2 linked regions of the Drosophila melanogaster genome follow. The protein of the gene in region 2 purifies or fractionates together with the protein of the main gene of each other region. This does not show direct contact. Each region holds a gene or a part of one and is shown on either strand. Other genes may lie near its edges. The genes, in order: EndoA and Synj.

Region 1 (15,369 bases), on a different chromosome or scaffold from region 2:
GCAGCCGCTGGCCGGGGTTGATATAATTTTGCTGACGTCGTTGCCGGTTTCATTCACCGCTCCGTCCATATACCCTTTCCCCACCACCAATATATATTCACATATATTCACACACACGCGCTCTCTCAGCTGCTGTGTCTATTTTCTATGGCCGTGCCCCCAAAACATTTCCACGCGGGGATCTTTTTCTCTCATTATTTTTGTGATGCGGAGGATGGGCCACTCGGATAAGTGGGTGCCTCTACTTCTTAGATACTACTCTACTCTAAAACCCTTAGCTGGTTGAAAGCAGCTGAAAAAGGTGTAAACAATGCATTAGCATCAACTGATTTAAGTTCTGAAAAAAAAAAATTTCCATGTGCTATTAACTTGAGGCAAAGTATTACATACAACACAGTTAAGTTAATATAACAAAAAATATATATATTTTCAATAAACTGTGCAAAACGCAGACAGATTATTCATAGCCGTTCATATTATTTGGCTAGCGACAGTCTGAAAATTGCACAGATAGCATTTCGGTCTAAATTGGCTACAATAGATAAGAGAAGCTAAAAAAAAAGAATAAATTTTACTCTGCACCCAGATAATTTAGAAACGTAGATATTAAGGTTGTAAGTAATAGCAACTATGTTTGCTCACAAAGGGTTAATAAACTGGTATTTAATAAAAAGCCGCGAAACTTAAGTATAGTTCAATACTTTGCGTATTTTTTCGCGCCTAAATATTCATTTATATTCATATGATCATTCACAGGATTTTTAATGTAAATGTAAGTATTTATGGTTACATATGTCACCTATGTCCGCTCCAAAAGGTATAGGGCAACTGGTTTGGCAGCCTGCCATGCAGCAACAACAAACAATACAGATTCGCACTCTTTCTCTCCACGTGAGTGAAACTCTCTCTCGCTGGTTGAGATTGGCTGATGCAACACTTGCCACACGTTGCAACAGCTGTTTTAGTCTGGCCCAGCTGATTCGTATTGTTGGCTTGTTGCCAGAGACTGCGAAAATCTCTTGGCAACATGTTGCCACAACTTTTGGAAAACTCATAGTGTTGTTAAACATGTTGGGCGAAATTTTCACACCGGTGCAGGGCAAAAAGGGGGTGGCTTAAACTGTAGCTGGCTGGCTGGCTTAAATTAGCCGGCCGATGATTCATTTTGGGGGTTGTCCACTTACATAAGATGAGCTCACCCAATGTGAAAACTCTTTAGTCGCTGGAAGAAACTGCGCATTTCGACACAGAAAAGCCTAAACAAGCAGAACGAACATTTGTTTTGTAGATTTATAATTTTTCAAAACATACAATCGCATTGCACTTTGCGATTGGCCTTGACACCCTGACGTGGTTCCATTTGGCGACACTGTTCCTGCTTTTATCTTCTCCATGGCGCAAGATAAAATCAGAAAGTACAACGTGTTGATCACCTAATGGCCAGAGTCATGCAAACCAAACTCTTGGTGATTTAAATCTATTTCCATGTCTGTCACAAAAGAATACTGCTTATTATTATATGGCGGGTTATAATTTACCAAAGTACACAAAATGTTACAATACAATACAGTTGAATATATACTAGTTAAATGTACATATGTTTTATAACAGCTCATTGGCTGTGTTTTAATGGTTTATAAATGTAAAGTGTTTTTAAAGCATTTTAAATTTCAAATGAAACATTTTTTTTGTGGAAGTGCTGTTTTTTATACTGTTCAGATATATCTCACTGATATTTATGATGATTCTTTAATCGTATGACTGTACAGTACCCTCACACTTTAGTTCTCTGTATGGTGTGTTGACTGTAGTCAAACCGCTCCCAAAGAAAGTCGGGCAAAGTGAATGTACCTAGGCGCGCTCCCGCTGAGCATTTGTTGTGTTGATGAGATTAAAACTGGAACTGGGAATGGAATTGAATGCGTCTTAAACGGAGAACGGAGAAATGAGAGGCTTTGTGGACACTTAAAAGTATGCGGCTCTCTTGAGCCGTACTTCAGTACGCTGACGTCGACTGAAGAATCGCTTTGTTCTGCGCTCTCAAATATATTTAATTTGGATTTGGAACTGGATTTATGTCAACATGCAATTTCTGCAGTGGATTTTTACACTATGGCTAATTGCTGGTTGCTCCGCTGGCCCGCAGAATGTCCTGCTGCTTCTGGCTGACGATGCCGGCTTCGAATCGGGCGCCTATCTGAACAAATTCTGCCAAACTCCCAATCTGGACGCACTGGCAAAACGCGGATTGCTTTTCAACAACGCCTTCACCTCGGTAAGCAGTTGCAGTCCCAGTCGCTCGCAGTTGCTCACCGGCCAGGCTGGTCACTCCAGCGGAATGTATGGACTCCATCAGGGCGTGCACAACTTCAATGTTCTTCCGGATACCGGATCGCTGCCCAATTTAATCCGTGATCAAAGTGGCGGACGGATCTTGAGCGGCATCATTGGCAAGAAACATGTTGGGGCCGCCAACAATTTCCGTTTCGATTTCGAGCAAACAGAGGAGCAGCATTCCATCAACCAGATTGGCAGAAACATCACCCGGATGAAGGAGTATGCCAGGCAGTTTCTCAAGCAGGCCAAGGACGAAAAGAAACCCTTCTTCCTGATGGTCGGCTTCCATGATCCCCATCGTTGTGGCCACATCACCCCGCAGTTTGGAGAATTCTGTGAGCGTTGGGGCAGCGGAGAGGAGGGAATGGGCAGCATACCCGACTGGAAGCCCATCTACTACGATTGGCGTAACCTGGACGTGCCCGCCTGGCTGCCCGACACGGATGTAGTGCGTCAGGAGCTGGCTGCTCAGTACATGACCATCTCGAGGTTGGATCAGGGAGTTGGTCTAATGCTGAAGGAGCTAGAAGCAGCCGGCGTGGCAGATCAGACACTCGTGATCTACACCTCCGACAATGGACCACCGTTTCCCGGAGGCAGAACCAATCTCTACGAGCACGGCATACGATCGCCCCTGATCATTAGCTCTCCCAATAAGGAGGATCGTCATCATGAAGCCACTGCTGCCATGGTCAGTCTTTTGGATATATACCCCAGTGTAATGGATGCTCTTCAGATTCCCCGACCGAATGACACCAAAATCGTTGGCAGATCGATACTCCCAGTACTGCGGGAGGAACCTCCGATCAAGGAGAGCGATTCGGTGTTCGGTAGTCACAGTTACCACGAGGTGACCATGGCCTATCCCATGAGAATGGTGCGCAATAGGCGCTACAAGCTTATCCATAATATCAACTACTGGGCAGACTTCCCCATCGACCAGGACTTTTACACTTCACCCACATTCCAGCAGATATTGAATGCCACTCTCAGGAAGCAAACTCTGCCATGGTATCGTTCCTTGTTGCAGTACTACCAGCGACCCGAATGGGAGCTGTACGACATTAAGACGGATCCCTTGGAGCGTTTCAATCTGGCCGATAAGGCCAAGTACAATGGCACCCTGAAGCAGTTACGCGAGCAACTGTTCGACTGGCAGGTAGCCACCAAGGATCCCTGGCGATGTGCTCCGCACGCTGTGCTCCAGGAGCAGGGCGTCTACAAGGATCAGCCCGTCTGTCTGACCTTGGGCCACGAGGCGTTGCAGCGGCCCAAGCGCAGGATTCTCGGTCAGTATGAGGAGTATGTGGTCTTCTCGTAGGTCTGACTAAGAGTATTCAATAGATTGGGTGTGTTGTCTTATCGCATGTCCAATGGTTGATAACTCAACCATGCCAATGTTTTTCACTTCACATGCCGTTACAGTTGCGGTCATACAAATAGGAATTGCAAAAGGTAGAAATGATAATATTATATTAATGTATATTCTTATTAAAATAATAAAAAAAAAGTAACATACAATACTTTCAATAATAAACTTTGTTTAACTTTGAAGCGAGCTGCTAATCTTTAAGCATGGCTAATAAAAAGATCAATGTTTTCAAAAGCAATGGTAATCATAAGAATTAAGCATTTGTTTAGAGTATGTACATATGTATGTTCTTTGAACAAATTTCCAAGTTTACATTAAGGGAAAACTTTAATTGCTTTTTACAAACAAACAGATAAAAATATATTGCCTTGATTTTCACCTGCGCAATGCCAAAAAAATAGCCAACAGAATTGGCAAAGAAAGAAGACTGAAGATTCCCCCACTGACTGAATTGGTTGCATCAGCCCAGACTGGCAAACACTCGTGTCCTGGCAGCATGACCTCACCCACTTTTTGGACTGGAGGCGTGGGCATCAGGGGTTGGATGCTGCGTCACGTTTCAATGTCATGCCCACTGGGTCAGTGGGATAGGGGAGGGGAGGGTGTGCTGGCGGCTGCCTGTGTCTGTGTGTGGAAAATCGAAAATTTCAATGCTTCTGTTGTAGTTTATTGGTGGCGCCTCCGGATTCCCACATCGCCCACCACCACCCATTCCCAGCAGCATTCGAGTCTCTGTGTTACACAACAGGCAGCACGTTTTATGGTTTTAAGGTCAGATGGGAAATATCAAAGAGTAAACGACGTTTGCTTGTTTTTTTTTTTGTTGTTTCTCAGTTATGACTTTGAACGAAAGACACATTAAAAATTAAATTTTATTAATTTTGGTTTGCATAAATTAGGGTCTTCAGTTTTAGCATAGTTATTATTATTATGTATATGCCTTGTAATATATATTATTCAAGTTACCGCCCACACAAAAATGCAAAATTACAATAATTATTGTTTGAAGTTCGGGCCCCGCTGCACGTGGGGCAAGTGTGTATCGCGTGGAAAGATAGTCTCCAGGCGATGGGTGGATCCTCCCCAGATGGGGTATCCTCTGGAAATGTTCGCACTGGCAGTCTGTCCGTCCACGAGGCAAATGTTTCATCTTCGCACTCGAATATATAATTCTGTTAAATGTTTTCTTGGCATTTAACAAATTTATTATCAACACAAGTTGCATGGCTTTCAATTCAATGGTTTTCTTCATACGTAAATATATATGTATCTTGTGTATATCATTCCTAAACGTACGAGTATATATATGTATATACATTCGTATGTATATCGTGCATAGCTGTATGCCAACATGAGACTATTTTGAATCATTTTATCGGTTTGCCGTCGAATGTTTATTATTATCTCGTTAAATATATAAATATTTGATCTAGAGTTGCGGTTGGTAAACGCGTTAGTAGGTTCGTAAGTGTTGCTATGCTTCGATTGACTTGACTGGATTTTGCTTACGTTTAAAGTTATTATTATCAACATTTTTGTGGAAATCGTTTAACTAGTATTATGCTTGTTGGTTGGTATTGTTTAGGAGGATTCTGTTACATTTACTTGCCGCTAGTACTTTTTATCTGTTATCATCGTTTAAATATTCATTATATTGTTTACGTTGCTGCTCAGTATAATTTATAATAAATACATAATAATAAATATACATGTAGATAATACGCTTAATAAATATATTTATACATATATTTGATTTCATTTAATATATATATATATAGTTGTTATGTATATAATTAACAAACAAAAAAAACAACACACATAAAAAGGAGCAAAAAGTAGGATACAAATTTCGCTTGTTTCATCCTCGAAAAATTGAATTGAATTATTCTTTACATTGAACAACGAACATCAAGAACGGTATTCCGTATGCCTTTTAGAATAGAGTGTGGGGAGTATTGTTTTTGCACAAATATACGTAGGTAGAGTAGGTATATGTAGGTATTTTCGGGTATATAATAAATATGTATATGCATGTGGGCGGGCGTATGGTGTGGATACGTAGCTTTAGCCTATAAAGGGACATTTGCATAGAGAGCGCATTGGCGTAGGTTGGTTTAAATTACAACGATGAGACCGGATAAAAAGACCTCCGAAAACTGGAGGCTAGAAGAACTCAGGTGGAAAGACAAAAGAGACGCGCCTCCATGGGCGTGATTAAGATTACACGGGTAATTTAGTTAATTAGCTAGAGTGTTTTTCTGTTTGCTTCTGCCGCCGGACCAACTGTTCTAATACGTGATCGATCTATTGTGTGAAGTAGTACTAAATGTTCGCAACTTGCAACGAACAACAAAGCTGACGTTTGAGAATCAAAGGTAAAAACGCAAGGAAGTGGCATTGCGCGCGTAACGTCTTGTAAATTTAGTTAGTTAATACGTACATTAATTTAACTCGTAGTTAATTTGTTAATTATTGTGTTGCCAACTGGTATAATTTTGCACATAAAATTTAGTTAGCTTGCTCTATGGCCACCATGAATTTAGCCTGCTGTGTGCTGCTAGCTAAGCCGTATCGTAATATCCGTAATCGTAGTAACCCGCTCATCTAATTCAACTATATATATATATTTGCATTTATGTGCTGCTGCTGCTGCTTCTGCTGCTCCTGCTTCTGCATCGGCTTGGGCTGCCCAATTTCGCGCCTCTGGTGGCGAAACCAACAATTAAGGTTATTGTTCTCCAATCAGCGATCTACGTACGTCTTCAGCCAGTTTGATAGGATGGGATTGGTTTAGGGATCGGGATTAATACGAGGAACAGGATGAGGAATAGCCTAGTTGCCATTGGGCAGGGGCACCTGCACCTGAACATACGACTGCGGGAAGTAACCGGTGCGGCCATTCACCGCGCCCTCGAACCAATTGTCGTCGACGCGATTCAACAGGGTGATAATGTCGTTCTCCTTGAAGGCCAGTTCGCCGGGATTCTCCGGCTCGAAGTCGTAGAGGGCCTGGCAGCAGGGCTGCTGCTGGCGCTGCGGCGTTACGGCCATCGACTTGGCGGGCGAACGCATCGGCGAGGGCAACGGCGAGGCGCTCGAACTAATGTGAGACGGCGTGCCATCTTCGTTGAGGCCGCCGCCACCGCCGTCCAAGTTCAGATCGAGCAGCGTCTTGGGCACGAACTCGTTGCGTGGCCGGCTCTCCGCCTCGGAGCGCTTCTCCTGCAGTGTCTCCTGCAGGCCTCGAAGGACATCCGCGCATTGCGAATGAAAATCGTATAGTGCCTCGGCAAAGGTGACCAGCTGGGAGACATGCTCCGTATCGTTCTCGAGCAAATTGAACATGCCCACCTGGGCCAGCTGGAGCGATTCACCGAACTTGTCCTCGGCACCACGAATCTCATCGTCCTTGGCCTGTCGGCGACGCTTGCAGTCAAAGTCTAGCCGCCGGCCCTGCAGCTTCTTGCGATGATGCATTACCTCCTTGAGGTCTTTGGTCTGCATATGATGCAGTGGCTCCAAAAAGTTCTGCTTGATGTTGTCGTCCAGCGAATACTTGACGTCGGCCATCTGTTTCAGCGCTTCGCCGAATTCGACGAGCGCCTGCGCGAACACGCTGTTGTCCTCGCCGAGCTTCTTCCCATAAGTCAGCATGCATTCCGCGAGCAGGCCCTCCGGTTGCGGATACGTATTGGACTTGGCCTGTCCGGACAGCTTCGAGATGCCCTTGACCGCTGCCATTTTGGCCCGTGCCGTTGGATTCGGCTGCAGGAACTCCTTCGTCTTTAGCTGCAGCTCCTCCACTAGCTCCACGGTGACGTCCGTCTTGCGTTCCATCTCCATGAAGTCCATGTCCAGTTTGGTGCCCTCGGCACCGCCCATCTTCTCCGTCATATACTGGTTGGCCTTGTTGATCTGCTTTTTGAGTCCGGCGAAAGCCATGGCTGCTGCTGTCTCTTCTGGTTTTCTTCCTCTGATTAAATTGGTCTTGGGGCGCTCGACGCAGTTGCTGTGAACGGGTTGGTTGGGTTAGTCGAGACTCGATTTCAAATTCAATGTCAATATCATCAAGTCAACAATTTCATCAATGGACTGGATGGCTGCCTCACTGACTGCCCGACTGCCTGGCTGGCTGGCTGGCTGGCTGAGTGTGTCTATTTTTAAAACGTTTACGTTTGGAAGACTTACGCGTACTGCACTTTTCTCCGTTCCTTCTCCGCTGGGGGTGCTACTTTCCGGGGCTCTTCTGCTCGCTCAGTGGAGGCTGCGAGTCGGGAAACTCGAATTGGCTTGGTGAACTGTAGCCCGAGTTCGAGTTCTACTTTTGCTGACCACTACTGCGGGCACTTTCACTCGCTTCGCTTGCTCTGCACGTTCTGCCCCGTTTTTTTTTTTGTTGCTCTGCTCGTAATCTTCGATTTTTTCCAGAACCTTGGGCTGCGTAATGTTTGAAGGACCGTGAGTCGTTACTACTACTACTGGTCGCGCACAGGGGGCGGGGGCTGTGGGGTCGCGTTTTCCTCTCGGCTCGCAAAAATCAATATCTTGACTGTGTACAACAATTTTCAACGGCACTAAGCCACTGGAGCTGCGGGACTATCGATAATTCTGTTAAAAAACATTCAGTGTGACCGGTGGTTCGTAAAATACCAAAATCATTCGCATACAACAACGGACATACACGGGATACGCTCATCTCTAGGCATATGTTAAAGATGTGAGGTACAACTTAACATTTTCATTTAATTTCTTTGCAGGGGGGTATTAGATAGTTATATATATATATCAAAACAATATTAAAAATTAAAGTAATATATATATTTTATATTAAGAAGCCAGAAGCACATAAACAGTTAACATAATATCTTACATTTAATATCTAATACTTATAATGTTAATGCATTATAAATTTGAATTTGAAATCTATGTTGATTGGCAGAATTATTAGACTAGAATAAATATGGTCGGTCCCACTGTCGGTCTCTGTATTTGCTCTGTCCTTGTACATGCTGTTAATCGAATAGCTGTTAGATTAGAATAACAGTTTGGCGCGTAAAATTCTAACATTACAATACATAAATATATTATATTGATAGAAAACGTACTCAGCAAAAATAAAGCTGTATAACTGCTGATGAATGTTACGCTAAGATAAAAATGGAATGACTCAGAATGGATAAGAAAATATCATGTTTATCCTGTTTACCAAAATAACTGTGCGCAAAATAACCAGTAGCACAGCAGTCAATTTTATCTTTCTAGAAGGTGGCAAATATATCCCAGGCAAAAATTAAACCCCATTTGCATCGTAAAAACCAGTGACGTTCACAGCATGAAGTAGCAATTTTACCACCTTTTTTTTTTTTATATATTCTGGCTCTATCTGAACAGATAACCCCCGAGAGGTACTTAGCACCACCGAACAAACAATGAACATGTAAATCAGTTCAATCGCAGTAGTAATAGTTGAGATATCAGAGATAAGATCTCCCTGCCGTGTTTTTAATGGCGTATAAAAGCCGCAAGCCGTTGTGCTTTTGGCAATTAGTCTAGACGAAACCCAACGACTGAGAACCAAGTGAACTCAGATAAATTAAAAGAAATGAAATTCGCAATTGTTCTACTGGCGGCCAGCATTGCCTGCATCAGTGCACAGGTGAGGAGTTGTGGATATGGGCCCCCCCATTAAGTGGATTATTATGTAACCGAATTATCATAATTTACTCGTAAGGGCCCTGGAGCTACTGTTGGAAATCCCCTTGCCGGAAATCCCTTTGCCGCCGCCAATCCGTATGCGGCTGCCTTTAATCCCTTCCTAAATGGAATTTTCGGAGGTGCTGGCACAGGAGCTGCCGCCGGTGTAGCCGCTCCCGTGGCACCGTCTGCTCCCTTTGGAGGCGCCTCGATTTCCTCATTCTTCCAGTCGATAGTCCTGCAACGCGAAGCCGAGCGTCTGCTCTCCCAGCCTGACTTTCCCGCCGACCTGGCGGAGCGCGTCCTGGATGTGGTGGCCACCTCGGAGGAGTCGATCAGTGGCTGCAACAACGCCACTTTGCCCTGGCTGCAGATACGCTGTGTCAAGCCTCTGCTGACCACGGCCAAGAACCAGCTGAAGGCCATCGATGACGAGTGGCAGGCCCGTTTGGCCGCCACCGCCAGTCCCACAGGAGCAGCTGCTGCCTAGGATTCTAGTCCTGTCCTCCGGCTGCCTTAGTGTCCAATACTTCCTAGCTTAGCAATCGACCAACATAGATGCAATAAAATTTAAATAAGCCTAATGCCGGAATTTCCTATGCTGGTTTAAGGGGTGCAAAGGTGTGTGTGTGTGTGTGTGTGGTAAGGGGGGGAGGGGGGGGGAGGCCAAAGGACTCCTGACCTAGGACATGCTTTGATGTGGCCGGCCGAGCTTTGCATTCCGCTGCTTTATTAAATTTCCCATCGGGAATTACAAATTTTGGCGTTTGCCTTCTTGACGCTTTTCGGGGCGCAAATACTTGGCTGCTCACGTCACCGTCACGAAAATCCTGGTTCGACCTCGACTAAAAGGATGCTTATGCTTTGGAAAGTTAGTGTTGTCATTATGGGGGAAATATGCTAACTTAAGTTCTAAGCAAATAATTTTTATAAATTAATAGTTTTAATATGCTAACTTGCAGGATTAAAAAAGTTACTATAGCTTAGCTTTAAGTAGCTTAATCCAATAATACCAAAATTAAGCTAAATCGTAATATTTCATTAAAAAATATATGCAACTGAAGTGACTTAATTTTCAGTGAAATATATAATGGCCAAGTCGTCATCACTTCGACGCACACTTGAATCGTTTTGGCCATCGCATGGAACTTGACGCATTTTGGTCAAATATTTGTACTGAGTTCCTCTGCTTTGTTTCCCTGACCTCCCTGGCCCAGCTCATTTTGCGGGGTTATGACAGCCCTTTTATGCACTTTTCCATTGGCGCCATCAATTGTTTCCAGTGCATGATTTGCTTCTCAATTGGAGCCCTTTGAGTTGAGGGTCGGGAGTCAGCTCGCTTGAGTTGCGTCCAGTTGCGGCGGCAATGTTGATTTATGTGCCAGTGCAGCTCCAATTATCCAATGTCCTCACTCAAATTGCCGGCCATCCTGCCCTTCGATTCGATGTGAATCGAATCGATTCGATTTGATATGGCTTTTGGATTTGCATTTCAATTCGAATTCCGGGCTTAGGACCTGTGGTTATTAAATGGCTTGGCTTAACGAGCCAAGGACCGGCCACAAATGACCAAATGACCAAATGACGAAGGGGCCATTGGATGTTGGATAAGCCACGAACAATGCCTAAATGGGGGCGAGTTTGAATTCAGATTGAAATATTTAATTAAATGTAAATTTCCAACATACACAACATCCGCCGCTTCACAAGATGGGGAGTGCAAAAGTTTTGGGCCAATTAATAAAAGTATTTCGGTATTGAAATTCGAGTTTGTTCGTCGTCATTACAACAATGCGGGCCAAACTTGGCCAACTTTGGTGTAGTGTTAGCCGCGAACTGATCGACCAACCCTCCGTAACTAAACCTCAACCGAATGAACCGCCTTAAGCTCTGTTTTGGTAATGCAAAAGTTGCGGCATTTGAAATTCAGGCAGCAGCAGCAAAACAAAAAATGGTAATTTCGAGCACAGAATGAAATCCAGCCGCAACTGCCCAACTAAGAGTATATATAAATCCGAAATTGGTTAGAGGAAAAAATTAAAAAACAAAAAAAAAAGAAATAAAAGCAAAATGCGACACATACGAAGGGATTCTACGGAAAGTGCATGTATGGAAATTTGTTTTCGGTTTGCGGCTTTTTTTGTTTTGATGCAAAAGTTGTGTGTGCCCCCCAAAGTAGGCAACAAAATTTCTGCGGCTTTGGACTGTGTCAAAGTTCGTTAGTTCGTTTGTTATTCGACGATATTGTGGGTCGCAAAAATTAGTGCAAAAACTAAATCCGTTCACGACCAAAGTTCCAATCCAATAGTGAATCATCCCACAAACTGAATGGTGTTCATCCGTAGTTTGCTATTAGCACTTGCTACTGTTATTTGATTCCCGAGTGCCACTTCCGCTGATAAAGTTATCTAATTAATCCAGCAAATATACGCTTATGGACCAACATAAAACATAATGGGGTTGAGGCTATCGTTTCGTATTGCACTCAGATAGATGGTGAGATAATGGAGGCTGTAAACTCTATCAAAGCGCAAACAGAAGATAAGTTTGAATGTCTTTCGAGTTTTTCAAATTGTGCTTCAGTCGGTCATTGAAAGTTTCCAGAAAATGTCGAGTGCAGTGCTGATAGCTTTCTGCGTCTTGGTTGTTTTGGTAATTGAAAATAATACTAAACACAAAAAAAAATCTTTAAAAATAATCTATTTTTTCATATATATGCGCTCAATAGACCGGACAATCGGTTGGCCAAAATGTGGCCGTGCAACAGTCAATTGATTGGGCCAATGAACAGTTCAAAATCGCTCAAGTTGTGGCCCAAGGAAAGCTACCCAACAGTGTTGAGGCCCGGAACGATGCCAATGACCAATTGGACACTCTGAAATTGGCTTTATCCCATTGCGAGGCTGAGCTGAAATCCACCCAAGGTGTCGATCTTCACAAGACTTGTGTTAAAGCCGTCTTCGCTGGCTTTTATACTGCCTTGGATCGCTTGGCCGCGGAACACTGGCCCATTTATGGAGCCACCTCTGGTGCCGCCCGAATTGGCTTCTTCTGCTAATTAACGTAATCATCTTACAAAGTTTAACCACATAGAGGAATATTTAGGAATCTCATAGAAGTCTAATATGTTATACAGATTTGGAATATGTTCGGAATAATAAAAAGTTATTAGGGTTGGATGGATTTGTTTTACTATGTTGTATTTCGTGCTTGTGTTTAAGGAATTTTACTTTTGTATAGAGATGTCAAGGTGTGTACTGCCTATGACAGCCATTTATTCTAAACAGAATCACAAAATTTTTTAGTTCGAACCACTTAGTGTACAATGAGTTGGCTGTCAACCATTTTCGGTATTATTTTGATAACACTTTTGTGTACGATATGGATAGCAGCGCATCCGCGATGGGAGCAAATGGCCAAAGCTGTGGCCTCCAAGATGAACTACGACGACCAGCATAGAATCCACACCGCATCTAGGGCAGCCAAAAACGTGGATGCGCAGATCCACGATTTCTACGTCAAGCTGGAGAATCAGAAGAAGGTTGCTGCCCGTGAAGTATTGGATAGTGCATACACTGAAACGACCAAATGCATCGAGGTATTCTACAGTGGTGAGCTGGAGCAAACGTTTAAGGACTGCATCGAGCACGTCACCCGTCTGCACATGGAAAGGCTGAGGTCACTCCTCCAAATTACCACTAAGCGACAGGCGAGCGGAGCAAGCAGACTTAAAATCTGGCACTGATAATACCCTGGAGTCTTCCCAGGATCGCTGGCAGGCAACGAGTCTGTTTTCTTTGCACCCAGTGCTTTCTGATGTACTTTAATTAGACAGTCAACTCGAGACCCGTCAGTGCAGCTTTTCATCTCAATCTGGGTGGGTGTGATTTCGGTGGGAGGGGATGGCATTCTAGTGCTCATTAGGCAAATGAGTGGTGTGGGTTGTGTAGGAGGCTGGAGGCCGTGGGTGGTGGCTGTTTCGTAATTATAATCATTAGACGCGAGACAAAACCCTCACAAAGCAAATAGCGACATTAGCTGCGTGGAAATGTGTGTCAATGAAGATGAATCTGCCCGAGACGCCAGGGAGTTGAACTCTGCGACTGGCATTGTTGATTTTGCAACGCTGGAGGGTCCGCCTTCGTGGAAGTTCAAAATTACGAGAGTTTTGGGTTTGGGGGACTAATGAGAATGCAATGAGTGAGTGGCAAAATGCATGCATATTTCCATTCACAAGTTCAATCATTTGCTGTGATTTAATTGCGTTCGTAGGAGATGTCGCTGAATACTTTGGGTATATGGAAGTCAGCATTGAATGGTGCAGCTTTTTAGAACTTAATGGGTTTAAAATTATAGCTATATATATATAGCTACATATATGTGTACGAGAAATTTGTATAATTAATAGTTTAAACACAAACTAGCCATTGGTAACAAGATTTACAACTTTACAATATTTAATACTATTAGAAATAAGTAAGTTTCAAAACAATTTGCAAACTAACTTTATTTTGTAAAGTTTTAGGAAACTACTTTTTGTTATACTGAGGTTTATTCCATTTTTTTTTTACATTTTTGTATCACTTTACGATATTGCATCACTTTTTTTAAACTTTTCTGTGCCCTTTGCAGGCAATTGCGTTGGTTTTTTTTCACGATTTAAGCCTTTGAATCCGCCTCAGATGTAGTTTCCGTATCGGAAGCGGGTGCATCCGGTTTCGGCTCATCCGTATTGCCAAACACACACATAGGGCACTAAAGGGCGAGAAAGGATTAGTGAATAACATTAGAATGGCTAAAAAGGTATACCTTTTCCTTGAGAACTATGCGGTACTTGGGATGGCTAAGGAAGTTAAGAAACATATAAATTAGATATAGATATCAAACGGAAATTGTTTTTTTTTTAAACCTATTTATTCACTCACCTAATGCCGTACACAATCGGATTGTAGACTGCGCTCGTTTTGGCGAAAGTCGCTCCCCAAATGGTCGTCAGTGGGGTCAATCCGTCGATTTTGAAGAGTCCGAAGTAGCAAATGACAAGGTATGGTGTCCATGCCATAAACCATAGGGAGATGGTAGTTAGAGCCACCTTGGCCAGTTTTCCCTCGGCACTTTTGTCGCAATCCTCAGAGCTCCGCAGGGATTTCACATTCATCTTCTTGGCCTGTTCCCGCATCGCTTTTTCATGTGCTGCCACGGCGGCAATGATGAACCAGTAGGAGTAGCAGATGAGAAACAGTGGAGTGTAGTAAACGAAGAGGGAGTAGGTGATTAAATAAGATCGCGGGTTCCACATACGCGTCATATAGTCAATGCTGCAGGCAGTCAGATTGCCCTCGGGCACATAGGCGCTCCATCCAATCAATGGCATGACAGTCCAAAAGACAGCCATCATCCAGATGAAAAGTATCTTCATTATAGACGTCTTGATGGTCATGGGTGTGCCATTGATACCCTTCACTATCACATTGTACCGATCGAAGGCAATCATGCACATGGACCAGATGGACACACAGCCAAAGAGCGAGCCACATCCCGCGTAGATGTCGCACCACAGCGGACCCAGCACCCAAGTCTCGTAGTAGAAGTTAATAATCATCACCGGCGACTGGGAGGCCATCATACAGAAGTCGGAGAAGGCCAGGTTGAGAACGAGCAAATTTGCCGGCGTGCGCAGCGACTTTGTTCCACCGAAAATGTAGACCACCACTCCGTTGCCGCAGCACGAGATGATCATAATGGCCAGGGTGAACAATCCCAGAATTTTGCTCATCATGGGATCCATGGGCGCAAAGCGGCTCCAGTAGGGGTTCACCAGGTGCGCCATGTCGGGCAGCACCTGCGGGATTGCAAGAAGGCAATAAGTTGAAGTGCCACCACAAAGGATTACAATTAAAACTAGAACTAACATAAATCATTTCCCCCAATCACTCACATTGTCCAGCACGGAACCATTGCCACTC
Region 2 (16,615 bases):
ACACCGGACTGTTGCGCCATCTTCTATCCGATATGGTGCATATGTTTTGGAGCCGTAGGAATGTTGTTAGGAATATTAATGGCGACTTCGCATAGTCCCCATAGCGATGTGGTGTCATTTGCCTTTAGCATCGGATTTGCTGTACTCGTCATTGCACTAACCTACGTCATTGCTGGGATACTCATGATGCTTGGCGATAGACTGGCAAGTTCAAAGTTTACCTTATATGGCTGAATATTTTTTGTATTTTGTTTCAGCAGAACAATAAATCACTGTTTAAAACCGGCATAATCTTAAGCTACATTTATCCAATCATGTTTGCATTAGCCTTATACCCAATCAGTAAGCTACTGTTTTATCACTTGAGCACCTCTTTACTCCTTTTTTCCGCCTTAGTTGTCCACCTTGTCGCCATGGTATATCTGCACAGCTTTAAAAAGAATCGCTGGGGATAGCTTGGAACTACATCATATCCCAAATGATATTTAGAATGATATTGTAACCACGAATGATATTCACCTTTTAAATCTGTATAAATATATATATTACCAATCGGCAGCAAAATTAATCATAGCAACTTTTGAAAGCAAGTTCATCAGACATAAACATATATATATTATATATATATATATTGTCCACTACTTGCTTTTTTAATGTGCATGGTCACATCCGTATCCCCCGAAGTCTGCACCAGCTTCTATGCCACATGGTGCTTAGTTTGGGGGTCCTTGTTTGGGTTCGGTTACTCGTTCTTGCTCCTTGCCGATCTGATGGAAGTCGTAACAGTTGACAGAAATTTTCCGTTCCAAAGGACACTCAGGGTGGTCATTGCTGGTTTGGGACTTTCCTATCTTGGGGCGGGAATTTTAATGACTCTTGGCATAAAATACGTAAGTGATTTCCAGGGATCAATACTCATGATATATATTATATTACTTTTATAGAATAAGCCAATTGTGTTTAAATGTGGAAAGTTCTTGTGCTTAATATTTGCAATTGGTTCAATTCCGACTATAATCTTTCCTGGTAAGAACGATAATACAAATTGTTTGGGTATATATTTACTAATTCTTTGGGTCTTTTAAAAATTCCCTTAAATTTAGTTGTGCATTTCTGCACAATTCCCTGCTTGTGTCGGTATATGAAAAATCGATGGAACAAGGGCTAAACCTTGAAATGACACAGGGATCCGTGCTGCTGTTCAATGTTTTCAGGAATGAATGTTTAGATTTAAAATTTAATGGACCCTCAAAACTTGATCCCATTTTGAGCTTAGATAGCCAAGTGGCCCCGCATTCAACAGGTGGTTCGGCTGGTGCCTTGCATGCGGGCTGCTCCAATCAGGGAATCGAAGCCATTACAATCGGAGGTCGTGTCTGTTCAATTGGAGTTGTCGTAAACGCGAGTCGGCATTAAGGTCTTGCTCTACCTCCGCCGCCGAGGGGAGCAACTTGAGCAAATGCAAATATCATAATTTCCGACAGCACATCTGCAAGGTATCAGGCGCAGGGGAGCAGGCCACAAATGGAGCCCCACCTCCGGATCCGCCTCCAGATCCACCTCCACTTGCAAAGTCCAGGCCACCGTTACGAGGGCAGGACAAATAAAATTGTTTCGTCACGCCACCGCGAAGGTTGCCAGTCGCTGTCGGAATGAGGCTGGCGCACGCAAGACCAGGCCAACCGCCAACCGCCTGGAACCACCCACACCCAGCCACGAATCCATCCATCCATCCATACATCCACCAGCCCTAACCCACTTTCCCTCACGTGCTCCACCTTTACGACCTGCTCAAACATCAAGCTTATTTATTTACTCTAAAAACAATACCGGAAAATTAATAGCAATTTGTTGGGGTTCATAAATTTGTCGAAATAAATGTCCTTAACTGGCGAATGTACTTCCCCTCACTACCGCACCAACCCAAATGGGTGGAAGAGGGGTTCTTTCGGTGGTGGTGCTGCCAAATGGGTTTCACCTGCTGCAAATCGATTGTCTGACTCCTTCTCCGTTGGCCTTCTCTTATCAGCCGGGCTCGGGTGCGTGACTCCCCGTCCGGAGTTGGGTTTTAATTTTGATGACTTCAATTAACTGCGTGTAAATGCGGTGAATCCGCCTTTTCAGCGATCCAAAGTCTACACAGAAAGAAGGGATTATGTAAAAAACAATTGTTTGTTTTATATTTTTTTCGAGTTTTATTATTGTTAAAGTGAAATAGAGTTCATGTAACATGTATAATTGACACTGCACATTATGTGATCTAATCACCATAAACAAATAATTTTCTGTTATTAAAGTCACAGCTGATGACAAAATGAATCAGCTAGTAGATGTTTCATAACAAAAACTAATATTTTGTGGTATCCAAAGGATATTGTGGCTTTTCAGAATGCTCAGAAGGGTTTGTTGAGATATTAATGAAACTTTATTGAAGTTTATTGCTGCTTGTCAGCGCATGTAAACTGGTATACAAAGTAAAGAAAAGCCGGAACCCCTGAGTTGCAGCTTGTGATGGGGTGCCTTTTCCATGGATTGGGGGTCTAGAAGCGAGCCAAGTTGGGTCAAATGCAAAGTGAAGGCACATAATTCAGTTGCTCAACGACAACCGTCGCGTTCAGACGTCAATTTTAGACTACGGAGTGAAGAAGTCACAGGCTTGAAGGGTGAAAAATGTGAAACTACTACGATACACCATCTCAATAAGCCACTATAACTACTTAACAATACCGAATTTAAAATGCCGCGCAAGAAACCGAAGGTCGATACTCTCGAGGAGATCGAGACCAATATTAAACTGCTATGCGATCAATCCAATAACCACATGAAGGTTCGGGCCTACGAGAAGGCTTTGTTTGGATACAACCAGGTGTGTTGGGAAACTTACTAGCCACAGTTAAGACTAGGCAGAATTATTTCCATCAAATAATAAAGTGCAATTGGGAATACCATCTCCGAATTGCACTATAAATAATGTTTGATAAACTTTACACAAAGTGAATCATTTAAATTAGACACAGTTGAGGATATTTGAAACGGGTTTTATCGCATTTAAAAAATATGTAATTAAGATAAAAGTAATCTATGTACTTTTATTTAATTTCATAATTTTCGAAAAGTACATAAAAACGAAGGCGGTGATATTTTATGTGTTTCATTTTCACTTTTAAGCATTTAATGCTTTGTTCGTGAAGAAGGATAATCACTTAGCGGGAAAGGACATCCGCTAAAAGCTCCTGAAAGCTTCGCACAGGTTTTAGTTCACAACAAAGGAGCACAGTTTGACATTCTTAACGTAGTTGAACAAGCACCTGTAGAGTAACACCATATAGAAACACTATAGAAAGGCTTTTTTTATAGCCAAGATTGTTCAAGTGTTTAATGATAAGTTTTAGTTTACATTAAGGTTTTTTTGTTACATTTTTTTATATTACTCATACGACACGTATGCCAATTTATTCCTCTATGCTAGCAAACAAAAAACGTATTGAGAAAAGATACCGTTGATAGTTTTAGTGTTATAAAGGAGCTACTTTAATATGCGTAATTTTAAGGAAATTAAAGTCCCCCTCAAAACATATCAAGAAAGTTACTCATACGCCCCGTAAGCCAGTCATGGTTAACAAAATCCCAACTCGATTCCTTAAGCATTAACCAAAAAATTAGTTTAAAATATGATAATCTCGAGGACCACTGAGAAAAGAGGATAGATCGGAGTGGATATGCATTCTCACCTTCTAATAGGGCGTCCCCAAGGTCGTGACCCACATGGAGGCCATTGTTCTTGGCATTCACACCGCCAAACGACACGACACCTGGTGCCTGACACCTGATATGTAGCACCTGGCACAGCACGAGTGGTTGTTTTGTTATCGATTGCTAACCCATTTGGTGGCGCCAGTTTCCTGGCAACAACCCATTATAGCGCCAATCAATTGGCTAGTGATTTGGTCAGAAGTTGAGTTTTTTGGATTACTCCAATCGTCGGACGTTGAAGATTCTTCCCAGCGATTGCCAAGGGTATTATAAGGATATGTCGAACGTGCTGAACACCATTCTTGCTGTGGACAAGGAGCAGGAACTGCTGCAAAGCTTCATACGCACCGGAGCAGCGGCTGAGGAGGAGTCACAGGATGAGACCAATCGGCGGTCCAAGGGTCGCTCCCACAAGCCTCCCATCTGGGAGAGGCGCGAGTCCACTGATCGGGGCGGACGCGGTGCTGGACGGGATGGAAAGCAGGGGGATGACGGAGGAGCTGGGGGAGGAGCAGGAGGCGACGCTGCGGGCGGCAAGCGGGGCAATCGCATTGAGGCCGAACTTAGGGCGGCACGCAAAAAGATCGAGGAGCAGATCGCCAAGAAGAAGAAGCCCAAGGAGAACTTCGTCGACTTCTACACGGACAAAGATCGGGCGGCAGCGGTCAGCGCTGGTGCATTTGACATCAAGCAGAGTCTCCAGATCAAGCAGAAGCAGGACCGCAACGAGGCACTGCTCATCCCGGACGAGGCGGACATCAGTTCGGTGATCGCACTGGGGCTCAAGGAGATCAAGAATGCCAATCCCGAGAACGCCATACACTTTTTTTGCAAGGTGCTCCTGGTTTCATTATTGGAACTGTTCAGATTTCAGAGTCATCTAGTTAAGCAGGTTTTCTCTTTTTAATAGAATCTATACCGCTGTTAAGTCCCGTTTAGTTTTCTAAGATCTGCCATAACATATTAAAAACTAGCTAACAAAACCTTAAAATTTCAGGCTCTTGAGCTGAATAGCACCGACATCAATGCTTTGATTTCGCGTAGCAAGTGCTACTTGTTGCTGGGCGAGGCTTCCAAGGCACTGCAGGATGCGGAGACGGCTCTTGGAGAGGACAAGAACAACATTCGGGCCATCTACCAGAAGGCTGAGTCGCTGTACTACCTCGGTCAGTTCGAGCAGAGCCTGATGTTCTTCCATCGCGGTCTGAGGGCTCGTCCGGAACTGGCTTTGTTTCGCCTGGGCGTTCAGAAAACGCAGGAGGCCATCGAGAACACCATCGGCAGCAAGCCGGGTCCACCAGGACCAACAGCATCTGTTCCCAAGAGCGGAAAGTCACGGAAGTCCGGCGAGGATACACCTAAATCCCAGGCAGCGGGAGCAACGGGGACCAGTGCCAGGACGCGGCAGAAACCCAGTCGAGCGGATCTGGAACGACGCAACGCCCGCAAGCTGCTGGGCGAACTGTGCGTGGACAAGGAGTACTTGGAGAAGTTGCTGCTCCATCCGGATTTGGTCCGCGCGGACACACACACGGAGAGCATCTCCGCGTACGCCCGCGAGGCGGTGGAGTTTCTCAACAAACGGCAGGAGTTCTGGCGCCAACAGCGTCCCTGCACGGCGCTGCCCAACCATAAGAACCTGCCCCATGACGCTCTGCCCAAATGGTTCTAGTCCATCCAGCTGCCCAATACTACTGACTTGTTCAGCTCCCGGTGTTAAGTTTCTGTTTGAATTGAGTTGGCTTGATAAGCTGGTATTGAATAAATAAATCAATTAATTACGAAAACTCTCAGGTAATTTTACTTGACTCTTGTATTGAGTTTTATTAACTTCCAATGCATTTTGCGAATATTCACTTGGAGCAGCGACTACGACGGTCCAACTTTTTTATTTTGTAGTATGCTACTTGGTTAATCTTAGGCGTAACTTCAACTTTTGAACAGAGCAATTGGAATTTCTCAATTACATTGATATATATTTGTAGTCAACTGAAACAGAAATCCGGATGTAGCCTCAAATTGACGGAATACAACGATAGTTTAACAATGTGGAATAATATGTAATTTATCTCAATAGTTGTTCAATAACAATGGATACATGTGTTTGGGTGTGTCGCTCGAATCGGAATCTTTTACAGAGTTCTATTGCTTCTTCAGTTTTTATAACTTTACTTCATAATTTGACTAGTACGGCTATAATTTATTTAAACATTACATTTATGCAGATTAGTGTAATACTTTGTCGCCCATATACTTCATTATATTCATTCTTCGCCCTCGGCAAATCCGGTGCAATTGGGTTGAGTACGTCTGGCCAGTAAGTAAAAAAAAAAAAAAGAGAGTACCGGAGTGGGGTAGTTTGGGCTTTAGCTATGTGGAACTTATTTGTTTACTTTAAATTCAGTTTGATTCCGGCTAGAAACTATCGAAACAAACAAACAGGTAGTAACATAGATTCCATGCGAAGTGCGGATATTGCCAGGAGTTCTCCTCCAGAGTGGCCCAATATATTCGAGTATATATAACATTAAATACAGCGATTCGGAATGCAATCGGAGTGCAAGACAGCGAGCTGTAAATATAGCCATTATATGATTAGTTGCGGATTACGCTTGATATTTCTTGAATTCTTAACCAACCCCGTGTGCGTAGCCTGCAGCTCAGTTGTTGGCGGGTCGCGTGGGCAGCGGTGGAGCATTGCCGCTCCTATTTGGTATGGGTGGTGGGCCCCTGCGATTCGGCAGCGGTGGCGGCGGGCCCATTGGTGCTCCTATCACTGGCGGCGGTCCAGCCGGCGGCGGATGGCGTGGCGCAGGCACATCCTCCTGAATCTCCTCGTAAATATTACTGGCGGTTTCGTAGGCGGTATCAGATGGAATCGGATCCTTGGGCGAACCGACTTGGCGCGTGGGCGTCGAGACGGGTGTGGCCTGCTTGCTCTGCATTTGGCGCGGCGGCGTCGGCGGACCGGAGAGCACAGCTGGAGCTGTGGGCGAAGTCTTTCCCGAAGAGGACGTCGAAGAACTAGCGGATACAAGTTCCGTTGGCGATTGCGATTTGGAGGATGGCGTGGTGTCCATTGCCGGCGGACGAGGCGGCGCCACCTGCGGCTGAAGCGGCGACGGAATTAGAGGTTGAGATTGCGGTTGCGGTGGCATCGGTGGCTTTGCCGGCTTGGGCACAATGCTGATGACCCCGACGTGGGGCAGGTGGCGTGGTGAGTTCTTTGGCGACATAGGCATTGGGGGACGGGCTGGGGGACGTGTGGGCGGCTGCTTGGGCCGCTGGGGCAACTCCGGCGTAATGGCCTGCAGGAGTTGTGCATGCTCTACAGGATTAGCGCACAGCGGTATGGTGTTCGTGGTGCATAGCTCTATCTCGCTGTCCACCAGATGCTGCCAGTCCTTTGACTTCAGCTCCAGGATAAGATCTAATCCGCATACTTGGATACTCTTCTTAGAAGACGCATTTAAAGCCGATTCTCCATCCCGAAATGTGACCCACATGGTGTCCTCCACATAGCGCACCAAAGTGACCTCTCCCATCTTGGATAGCTCGGTAATCAGGGCTGACATCACATTCTCGTCGTATATGGTTGGTCCATCCTCATCTCCAGTTGCTGAAGACTCCAGGACATGTACCACAATCGTGGAGTCCGGCGGACCCAGATCTCGGATAACCTGCTCGAATACAGCACGTCTCCGCTGCTGATCGATCTCCATTATCTCAGCATCAATAATAGCGATCACGGGTCTATGATCACTCTGCTTTAGCTCCGAACGACCGTAGTGAATCAATTTGCCGGGATTCCAGGCTGAGGCAGCAAAGTCGCCCTCGGCCAGCGCCTTCCTGCGACGCCAGAGAACCCGATCTGTCCAGGCGGGCGCTCGCTGTTTCTCCGAGGTGTCGTAGTCGTCGCTGAACAAATCATACTTGTACGTCGGGTCGAAAGTGATCTCTCCCTCGAGGAATTCGCCAAACACATTGCCAGCCTCCTGCTCCTTGCGCAATTGATCGAACTCGAGGACGGTTGAGAGATCTCCATTACGTACGCACTCCTTTAATTCGTCCTTCTCCATGTCGATGCGATAGTTGAAGTCGCCGCACCAAAACACCCAGTCGTGTGATTTTAGCGTCCTGCCCATCGGGAAGGCCAGCTTCCGGGTGATTTCCGCGTAGTCAGCGTTCCTTTCAGCCACCTGTGACTGTCCGGCTGCAAAGTGGGCACACACGAAGCACATGGAAGTACCATGAAGCACAAATCGAATGGCACAGGCACCCTTATTCCCAGTGGCACCACCCAATCCTGTCTTAACACAGTCGATGGCCACGTCCCGGATGTGCGGCGCGTGCTCCGGTCGGATGTAGATGTATAGGCACACGCCCACCAGTTGCTGGTATGTGAGCAGCACGTAGTCATTGTCCCGCGAGATCGTTTTCTGCAGCTCCTCGGCCCACAACTTGGCATTGTCGGTGCTGGCCGCCATTATGTTGGAAGCATTCAGATCCACAATCTCCTCGAATCCAATGGCGTAGATATCCACCGGATGATCGACGTTCTCCGACGGATTGTTCACATCTACAAGCGCCTTGGAGCGGGCAAGGGCATGGCAGTCGAGCAGCCAATCGGCCAGCGAATCCTTGAACACAATGCTGCGGAAGTGCTTGCCGCCGTTGACGTTATAGGTACCCACGGCTACACGTGCCATTCGAGGACGCACATATTCAGTGTAGCGCTTGCATAGCTCTCTCAACACAGTGGTAGGTGCATGCAACATATTGGAGGGCAGTAGGATGCGAGCCCGATCCGCAAGCTCCGAGCTAAGCGTGGAGCCCACTAGCAGGACATCAATGGCTTCCTAAATATGAAAAAACGGGAGTAATGTAAATAATAAATTGAATTTTTAATTGAAAACCACAATGTACCTGCTTTGAGTTGTCCAGTAGGTTATTTTGAATTGTTCTTGCTGCAGATCGCGCACCATCCATTAGTTTTGATCCCCCCTGGATGGCCCCGGTGCCGGCGTAGATCTTGCTGACCTCATTTCCGTTGTTGATCCACATCTGTCGGAAGATCTCCTCAAACCGCGAAATATTCTGCTGCTTGCCGCCCATTTTCAAAGCCTCTAGCTGGATACCGAGCGTGTCAAGCCCGAGATACGTCTGCACACAGTTTGTCCTGTCCAAACAGTCTAGGCAATTCGTGCGCACAACACCGAACTGCTCGCGCAACACCTGACCATTGGACGCGTGGAAGACGCCGTAGTTAGCACCGCAGGCTACGATCCGTTCCTTGAGCTTGGCCAGCGCCGAGAAATTGCCGCCGCGACACTCCTGATGATAGTCAAACACCACATGCGGCACATCCTTGTGGGCTGACATGCCGTGATGACGCTGGAACTCATTACTCAGCATGGCCTCGCCCTCCTTGCTGCCAACAAGGGAGCTGCCTAGCAGATTCACCACCGTCTGATAGCCGTAACGTTGCCTCATCATGCTCATGTGTCGATCAAAGGCGGCGGCCGATGTCTCGAATCCTCGTGATAGCTTCACCTTGTGCGAGCCAACCTGGACGCCTGGCTGTTCCCAGAAGAGTGGCACCGATCCTCGCGTCTGCACATAACTAGTAACATCGCCGTCCACGTAGATCACTTGCTCGGTTTCCACAAAGTTAGCCACATAGCCCTCATCGTTGGTACCACGGACATTGAAACGCGTGCCAGCCCGTTCGCAGCTCAGTCGGGAAATGATGGCGGCACGGGCCTGTTTGGCACCGATGTAGACGGTGCGCACTTCTACGGAGCCGCACATGGCTTGCAACAACCAGGACTGGCAATCGATACCGAAGCGCATCAGGTGGATGTGCATCATGCGATTCCAGAAGAAACGGTTGTCCGTCTCCTGCGTTTGCTGGCGTCGCTGGGCGCAAAGCGTAATATCGAACCGATACGATGACGCTCCGGATGCCGATGCACTGGCATTGGTGTGGGCAAAGTAGAAGGTGCCCGAGTTGAGCAGCTTGCGCACCTCGCTGATCTTGTCTTCGTTGGGCGCTGCATTTTGTAGCGAGACAAAAGTGGTTTGTGTGATCCGGAAGATCTCGATGTCGCCGATCTTGCCCATGGACACACAGCCGGTGACCAGCACCAGGAACAGCACGGTGCTCTCGCCGGCGTTTAGTTGGAGGGCACCCAGACATCCGTAGGCGTCGCAGACCTTGGTGTACTGCTTCCGGATGACATCCGTCTCCTGCTGGGTCAGCAGGGCCACCGCATGGGACTCGAACAGGATGCTGTCGCTCTTGTTCCGATGCTCCAGTAATACGCTGTGCGGCGAGGGGGCAATGGACTTCTCCAGCACACGGATCACCTTGGACATGGCCATCTTGTTGGTATCTCTCTTCCGTGTGTCTTCTTTTGAGTCGAGTAATGTGATTTCGTCCTTTACTGTCTGCAGTTTAAGTTTTGCGTCCAGCTAAAGCTAAGACATCTGTTGGTGGGGAAATACAATTTAATTGTGGGTGTATTTCACAAGTTACATTTTTAAAGGGTGTATCAGTTACATAATAGAGATCTATTATTTTTATAAGAATAGTACTTCGTTTTTAAGGTGTAGGTTTAATATTGGGATTCGTCGTTTGCAATGCTACAATTATAGGACTCATTCGATTTCAATTTATGAGCAACACTTTTAAAACTAATTTATCGTAATATTTTTTTTACTAAGTAATAAGTTATTATCAACTACGCTACATTCGTTGTTTTTTTAAGTTTTAAAAAATATTTTGGTGAGTGTTTTACTTGCTAAGTTAAGTTATTTTGTGCACTTCGTAATAGCTCAAATGAGCTCAAATTTGGGGTTAATTTAATACCACAAAGTTTTTGATTCTTTTAATTTTAGGATTTGCACGAGGTGAGTGGAAATGGGAAAGTTCAACTAGTACAACAGACACTTTGAACCGAAATGGCACTAAAATTTCGGGCGCCTGTTAAAAATCAATAGGCAACTCTTAAACATAAACAAACCGAAAAGCGGAGGAATTTTTCCAATATCTTCCGCCTCCCACTCAAGTTCACCCACACACGCACACACAGCAATGACATGCACCGGCGGCAGCTGTGCTCTCTCTCGCTCTCTCCCACTCACTGCTGGCGCGTGCGTGTGTTTGTGAGTGACTGATAAACATTTTTTGTGCATTCTATGGATTTTTCACGAGAAATTTGCACAGGCATTTGACTGTTTTTAGAGGCAGCCAACGAACGGCATGCTTGGCGACCACTTAAAAGAGGAAACACTAGATTTCACGAAACTATTGGCTCCTCAAATGAATTTTTTACGCCTCTTAATACTCCTAATACCTTTGTTTGCGATTTTATTGCAAAATTCTGGAGAGCTTTGGGTGGTATGACCGTATTTGGTAAGCCGGAAAACGACAGCATTCTATATGGCCTCGATAATTATCGAGCTGTTGACAGAGATCTGCGCGCCGAACTAAAGATTTGAATTTAAATTGTGTACTAAAACATCAAAGTCAAGTGTATTGACCACTTTTGAAGATTACGGCGGACACTTGACGATAGCCCGAGGCTAGGGGCTTCGCTCAGTGCCCTGAAGTATCTGAACCATTTTTCATCAAACTGGGACAAATATAGTCTTTATCTCAATTGTCCCAAAACTGCACACTTTTCAAATTATATGATAAGAAACGACCCAAAAAGTTGGCAATATTTCTGATGCTAAGATTACACTTGCGCTTCTTTCGGCAAACAGGAAGCAATTCAATGCTGTTTTAAGATAATTAGGTCTCAGAAACAACGTTTCATGGAGCTTAGTCACTCAAAATTGCATGCTACGATAGAATGTAGAACGCTTAATCGCCTACTGTTTGCATTGGTCCGTATGCACATATGGAATGTAATGATTATTTATTTATTGTTTCACTATGCTCTGATTTTTTTTTTGGCACTTCTCACGTGCGCACCATGCTCCTCCAATTCGATTAGATAGCCCCATTGCGGACATTTTGAGTAATCTCAATGGTCGCAACAAAACCTCTAATTGTAAATCACAGACAATCGGGTGATTCATTCCAATCCGCCTTATCAGAAACCGGAGGACGCAAATAAATTTGCATTGCATCGCATTCTTTGTGAACCAGAAAAGTAAATAAAGTCAGATTTATATTGGTCATGCTTCTCAGTTTATTCGATAAGTATGTTTGACTAGTTGTAGGCTTAGAATACGAATTGATTTAAAAAATACGCACTAATTACTCAAATACTCGTACATTATTTCCATAGTTCGGCTTACATACATATGTAGCTCTTGGCAAGCGAAGCAACAATTCTAGTCGAAGGGTTTTCGCATTCCCCCCCATATGTTATCTAATCGCTTAACTGAAATTCGAGTGGATTGCCGTGCCTTGGGTACTGATAACGATTGATTAATTTACATAATTCCAGCAAGATATGGCCGCTTTCGGAATTTTTAGCACTCCCCCCAAGTACGTCATTCCGTTTAAATTGCATTTTCGCCCATTTTAGGCAGGGCGGCTGTGCAAAAAAAAAAGTATCAGCAGTCGTTAATAGTGTATGCCCACCAAATATATCATCTACCCCGCCTGGTTCATTTGAATGCGTCTGCGCCTAATTGTTATATTGTTATAACCTAATGCGTAAGCTAAAGGCGTCGGCCTAGGTTGGTTCCGGACCTGCATCGAAGGTCCAACCACATATGTATATATGTATATTTCTCCCTCCCTTTGCCGCTGATATGCCCGCTTCTCGTATCTGTAGTCATTTAATTCATAAATATGTTTTTGTGTCTCTCGCTTGTCATGGCTTAAGTTCATTAAGATAAGGGGCTGGCTGTGTGGAAAGAAATCGAAAGAATTTTCCCCCACACCAATCCCATGCGATCATTTGACTGGAAGGTTCTACGAGCAGCATCTAGAGTACGCTATAATGGTCGCCACCAGCCTGACCCATCACCTCCCACATAACTTAGACACAAACAGGGGCGCAATCGCCGCCAAGCCCGCATTAGGAGCGTAGGGTCGAGTCAAGTGAGTGCGGTGATAATTACGCTGAAACCGACTATGGTCGATGGTGTGACTCAGCCAAACGTTTCTCACCTATTTGGCCAAAAGGCCCCTGAGTCAGCTAACTGATAAGAGGGGGGATCTATGAGAAACGATACTGTAAATAAACATCAATCAGAACCTAATGGGTTTTCATTCTCACGATCGTTTCGATTCGATTCGATTCGATTTGATTTGATTTATTCAATGGCATTCCCTTTTGGCGCCTATGTACAGCAGCTGGGGCAAACAAAAAACAACACAAACAACTTAACTAAAAATAATCATAAGTATAGGCTTAGCGATAACAGTATACCTAGTGTGCTTGGCCAAAATAAATAATTACAACTCAATAAAGCAACAACAGAAGCGGGGAGAACTAACTATCGCAATCATAATGCTAACTAGGGCTTACGTCTCTGTACAGGCTGGCTACAAAATATGTACGCTATATATATATACACAAAGCATCATCATTAACCAGTTTCCATGAAGCCACCAAAATGCGCCCGGGTCGATCTACTCGAACGCCTACATCTAAATCTCTGGCGAGCGATCGCAGCGATACGCTCGTCGTCTAAACAGTGTCTTCTAAACTAATCTAGGTCCGCCTGCCGCGCTTCACGTCCAGGAGGAGTGCGTGGATGCCGCTCCGCATTCGCCTTTTTACAGCTTTAAGTCTAGACTTACGTAGTGACTAAGGTTCAGCTAATAATACTACTACCAGACGCTAGACGCCGCCCGCCAGTCGCTTGCAGTCCGCTGAGTTCGTTTGCTCACAAGTACAAAATAACAAACTTAACTATTAGGTGCTACGACACCAGCAGTCGCTGTTTGGCGCCCGTGCAGATCAGCGTGTCCCCCGTTGTTCCAGCGTTGACTACCGCAGGCTCTAACGTGGGTGCGGGCTGTGGCTGCGGCGCCAGCGGGTCGTTGGCAGCATCGCTGGCGAGGCTGTTCAGTTCGTAGGCCACTCCGCCCCAGTGAAGCTTGTAGGTGCGGGCGCGCCAGCGGATGGCCGGATTCCAGAGTGCGTGCAGGAACAGATAGGGTCCGGTCAGCTCTCTGAACAGCCAGCCAACGACGAACTCGAACTTGTGGAACGGCATCGAGCCATGCTGGACAATGGAGAGCAGCAGCCAGTCGGACAGGAACCAACAGAGCACGTGCACCAGGTAGAACACCAGCGGATCCCAGCTGAACAGCACGGATGCCGACCAGGCGGCTATGGCGCCAAGGATCATGCACTCGGAGAGCGGCTCCAGCAGTATGGTGGTGGGGACCATGGCCACGCGCAGCTTGGCCCATCGAATGAGCCGCGCCTGGAAGCTTCCGATGTCGCAGAGACCACTGTTCTGCAGCGCCGGCTGATTGGAGATGCGCATCTTCCAGCCCAGTCGCGTTACACTGCGCGCGATGAAGAAATCCTCAGCCAAGTAGCAGCCAAATGCTCGCAAGCCGCCCAGCTGGTCTATGACAGCCTTGCGCAGCAGACAAGACATGCCCGTGTGGCAATTGATGCCCAGCACATCGGCCGATAGATAGATTCTGCTCTGCACCGTGCCGAAGAAGACCTTCTCGAAGGTGGCCGCAAATCCGTCCCGGTCGCAAGTGAATGGCATCTGATGGACCAGGGCGTGCTTCTCGGACATGTTCTGCACCATGTCCAGCAGCGTGTCGTCTTTCATCTTGATGCCGCTGTCTGAGATCATCACAAAGTCGTACTTGGCGGCCATATAACCTGGATGGATGTTATTGATCTTGGGGTTGACACCCACGTCGGAGCCACCTACAAAGAGGGCGGCGTCCACCAGCGGATACTTGGCCAGCAGTCGCTCCACCAGCTGTATGGCCGGGTCCTCCTTGTCCTCGACGCAGAAGAGGAGCTCGTACAGCGGATAGTCCATGGTGAAAAAGGTCTCCAGGTTGTGCTGCAGGTTGGGATCGACGCCCATGAGGGGCTTGAGAATAGAGACACCTGGCAGGGGTTGTGCCTCCGTGGGCAGCTTGCAGGACTTCTTGTGCAGCTTGTAGCGCCCGTAGCAGATGGCTATCACATGCACCATCCAGGTGCCCAGCCAGAAAACCATGAAGAATGCCGCGAAGCCATAAAGCGGCAATGGTAGGTGTGACATCGTTGCGGGTGTGCGTGTGTGTGTGTGGCTGGCGGGGTGTGCGGTGTGTGTTTGTGTGTGCGGGTGGTGCTCCAAGGGTCCGCGCGAGTGTGTGCGTGTGTGGTGACTCCGAGTCCAAACTCAAATCCAAATCCCCGTTCGTGTGTCTGTGCGGGTGGGCGTTTCTATTCACGATGGCATTTGCTGCGGTTGCCCTGCGGTTTAGCGCTGCCCGATTGCGAGACCAGATCGGATCGAACAGATCAATCGAGGTGCACTCACTGGTTGGCCGTTCCTCGCGCTTTAAACATTTTGCAGACCTCGCGTCGCGTTCGTTTGCCAAATAAAACTGCAATAAAGGGGCAGTGTTGGCAGCGCTATGAATCAGATGCGGAAGCAAAAAGGGGATAAAAAAGCCATCACGCTTTCCCAATTTCCAGCACTGTTCGTAAGACAGCTGATTACCGATACTTATGATTTTTCAATACTACTTATGTAAAAAATATGTAAAATATCTAATAACATGCATATATCTAAAAAAAAAAATATGTTTACGTTATTAACTACGTAACAACGTATTTGCATTTTTTCTTTTAATTTTCACATTCATATGTATTTATTAAAACTATTATTGTTTAAAATTTTAAAACAATATATTGCTTGTATTCAAATAGCGATGCTTATAAAACCATAAGCTGAAACAACTTAAACATATAATTGATAACCACGACACTAACGTCCTGTATTATTCATTAAATTTTTTAGAAATATACTTCAACCTTTTCGTTAAATAAAAGAAAAAAAAACCCATCTATTCTCAACCAACTAAATATAATTTCTTGAAAAATTTTAGCATATTAATAAAAATGAAAAATAAATAAACAAGAATGTGGTAAATTGCATTTTCTTAAGCAACTGAATATTTTTCATGAGGAGTTTTATCTGTTAAACTATAATTTTAAAAATAAGTCAGAATGAAAAAATTCACACTCGCGCATAAACTTAACAAATCAAATTCACAAACAGTCCTGCGCATAATCGCAGTGTGACGTGCGTTAGGCAACACTAAACAGATTGCAGCTTTGAAAAATCAGTCAAAATCAGGTAAATTCTGCTAAAATGCACCAGTAAACGCACAAAAATCACAGACAAAAAAAAAGAAAAGATGGAATCCTTATCGAAGGACCCTTCCTCGGAAGGCGAACTGCCCGAGGACGAAGGCAAAACGGACTCGGAACCCAGCAAAATATCGCGACTGTTGCGAACGGAATTCGATGCCAAATACCAGATCGTAAACCTGCAGACTCCTCTCAATGCCTTTATGTCGGGCCATTACAAGCAGAGCTTTGCCTTCTTCACACTCCGGAGTCGGCTGCCCGTGATCCTGACCAACGTGATAGATACGCTGACACGGGACAAATCCGAGCTGGTAGCCCAATTCGGTTGGTTAATCCCTGCAAGCGTTTTTTGGCATCTCCATTAACTTTTTCTTCTTCCAGCCTCAAATGAATTTTCACAGGCTGCCCGCGAGGAGCTAAAGATCATTATTGGATTGATCTCCAGGCTAAAGTACGAGCTGCAAACGGACAAATCGTTTCAAAACTTTACTGGCGAAGGTTAGTTCCTAGCTTCATAGAATTCTCATGAGGATTATAAGCCTTGTTTTCTT

Evidence for each region.
Region 1: the proteins of Synj (region 2) and EndoA purify together in Drosophila melanogaster (affinity purification with western blotting; 3 studies listed by BioGRID). This does not show direct contact.

The regions. Positions count from the first base shown.
Region 1 is NT_033777.3:18,899,549-18,914,917, reverse strand, and holds EndoA (endophilin A), read right to left. Parts: upstream 8,310-15,369; 5' UTR 7,898-8,309; exon of another isoform or gene 7,719-7,897; 5' UTR 7,652-7,718; coding exon 6,542-7,651; 3' UTR 6,468-6,541; exon of another isoform or gene 6,413-6,467; 3' UTR 4,163-6,412; downstream 1-4,162. Other genes in the region: Sgsh (N-sulfoglucosamine sulfohydrolase), read left to right, coding at 2,084-3,658; CG14292 (uncharacterized protein), read left to right, coding at 9,312-9,365, 9,441-9,893; CG34284 (uncharacterized protein), read left to right, coding at 12,011-12,055, 12,132-12,461; CG14294 (uncharacterized protein), read left to right, coding at 12,729-13,148; Rh2 (rhodopsin 2), read right to left, coding at 14,063-14,158, 14,213-14,246, 14,329-15,245, 15,342-15,369. UniProt on the Drosophila melanogaster protein: Required presynaptically at the neuromuscular junction. Implicated in synaptic vesicle endocytosis.
Region 2 is NT_033778.4:22,074,702-22,091,316, reverse strand, and holds Synj (synaptojanin), read right to left. Parts: upstream 11,142-16,615; 5' UTR 11,112-11,141; intron 10,875-11,111; exon of another isoform or gene 10,779-10,874; intron 10,633-10,778; exon of another isoform or gene 10,554-10,632; intron 10,243-10,553; 5' UTR 10,138-10,242; coding exon 8,680-10,137; intron 8,613-8,679; coding exon 6,414-8,612; 3' UTR 6,393-6,413; intron 6,326-6,392; 3' UTR 5,896-6,325; downstream 1-5,895. Other genes in the region: CG44163 (uncharacterized protein), read left to right, coding at 1-204, 261-342, 397-455; CG43393 (uncharacterized protein), read left to right, coding at 654-890, 945-1,026, 1,104-1,168; CG13502 (uncharacterized protein), read left to right, coding at 4,031-4,588, 4,751-5,425; GlcT (glucosylceramide synthase), read right to left, coding at 13,645-14,967; CG2921 (uncharacterized protein), read left to right, coding at 16,112-16,388, 16,446-16,562.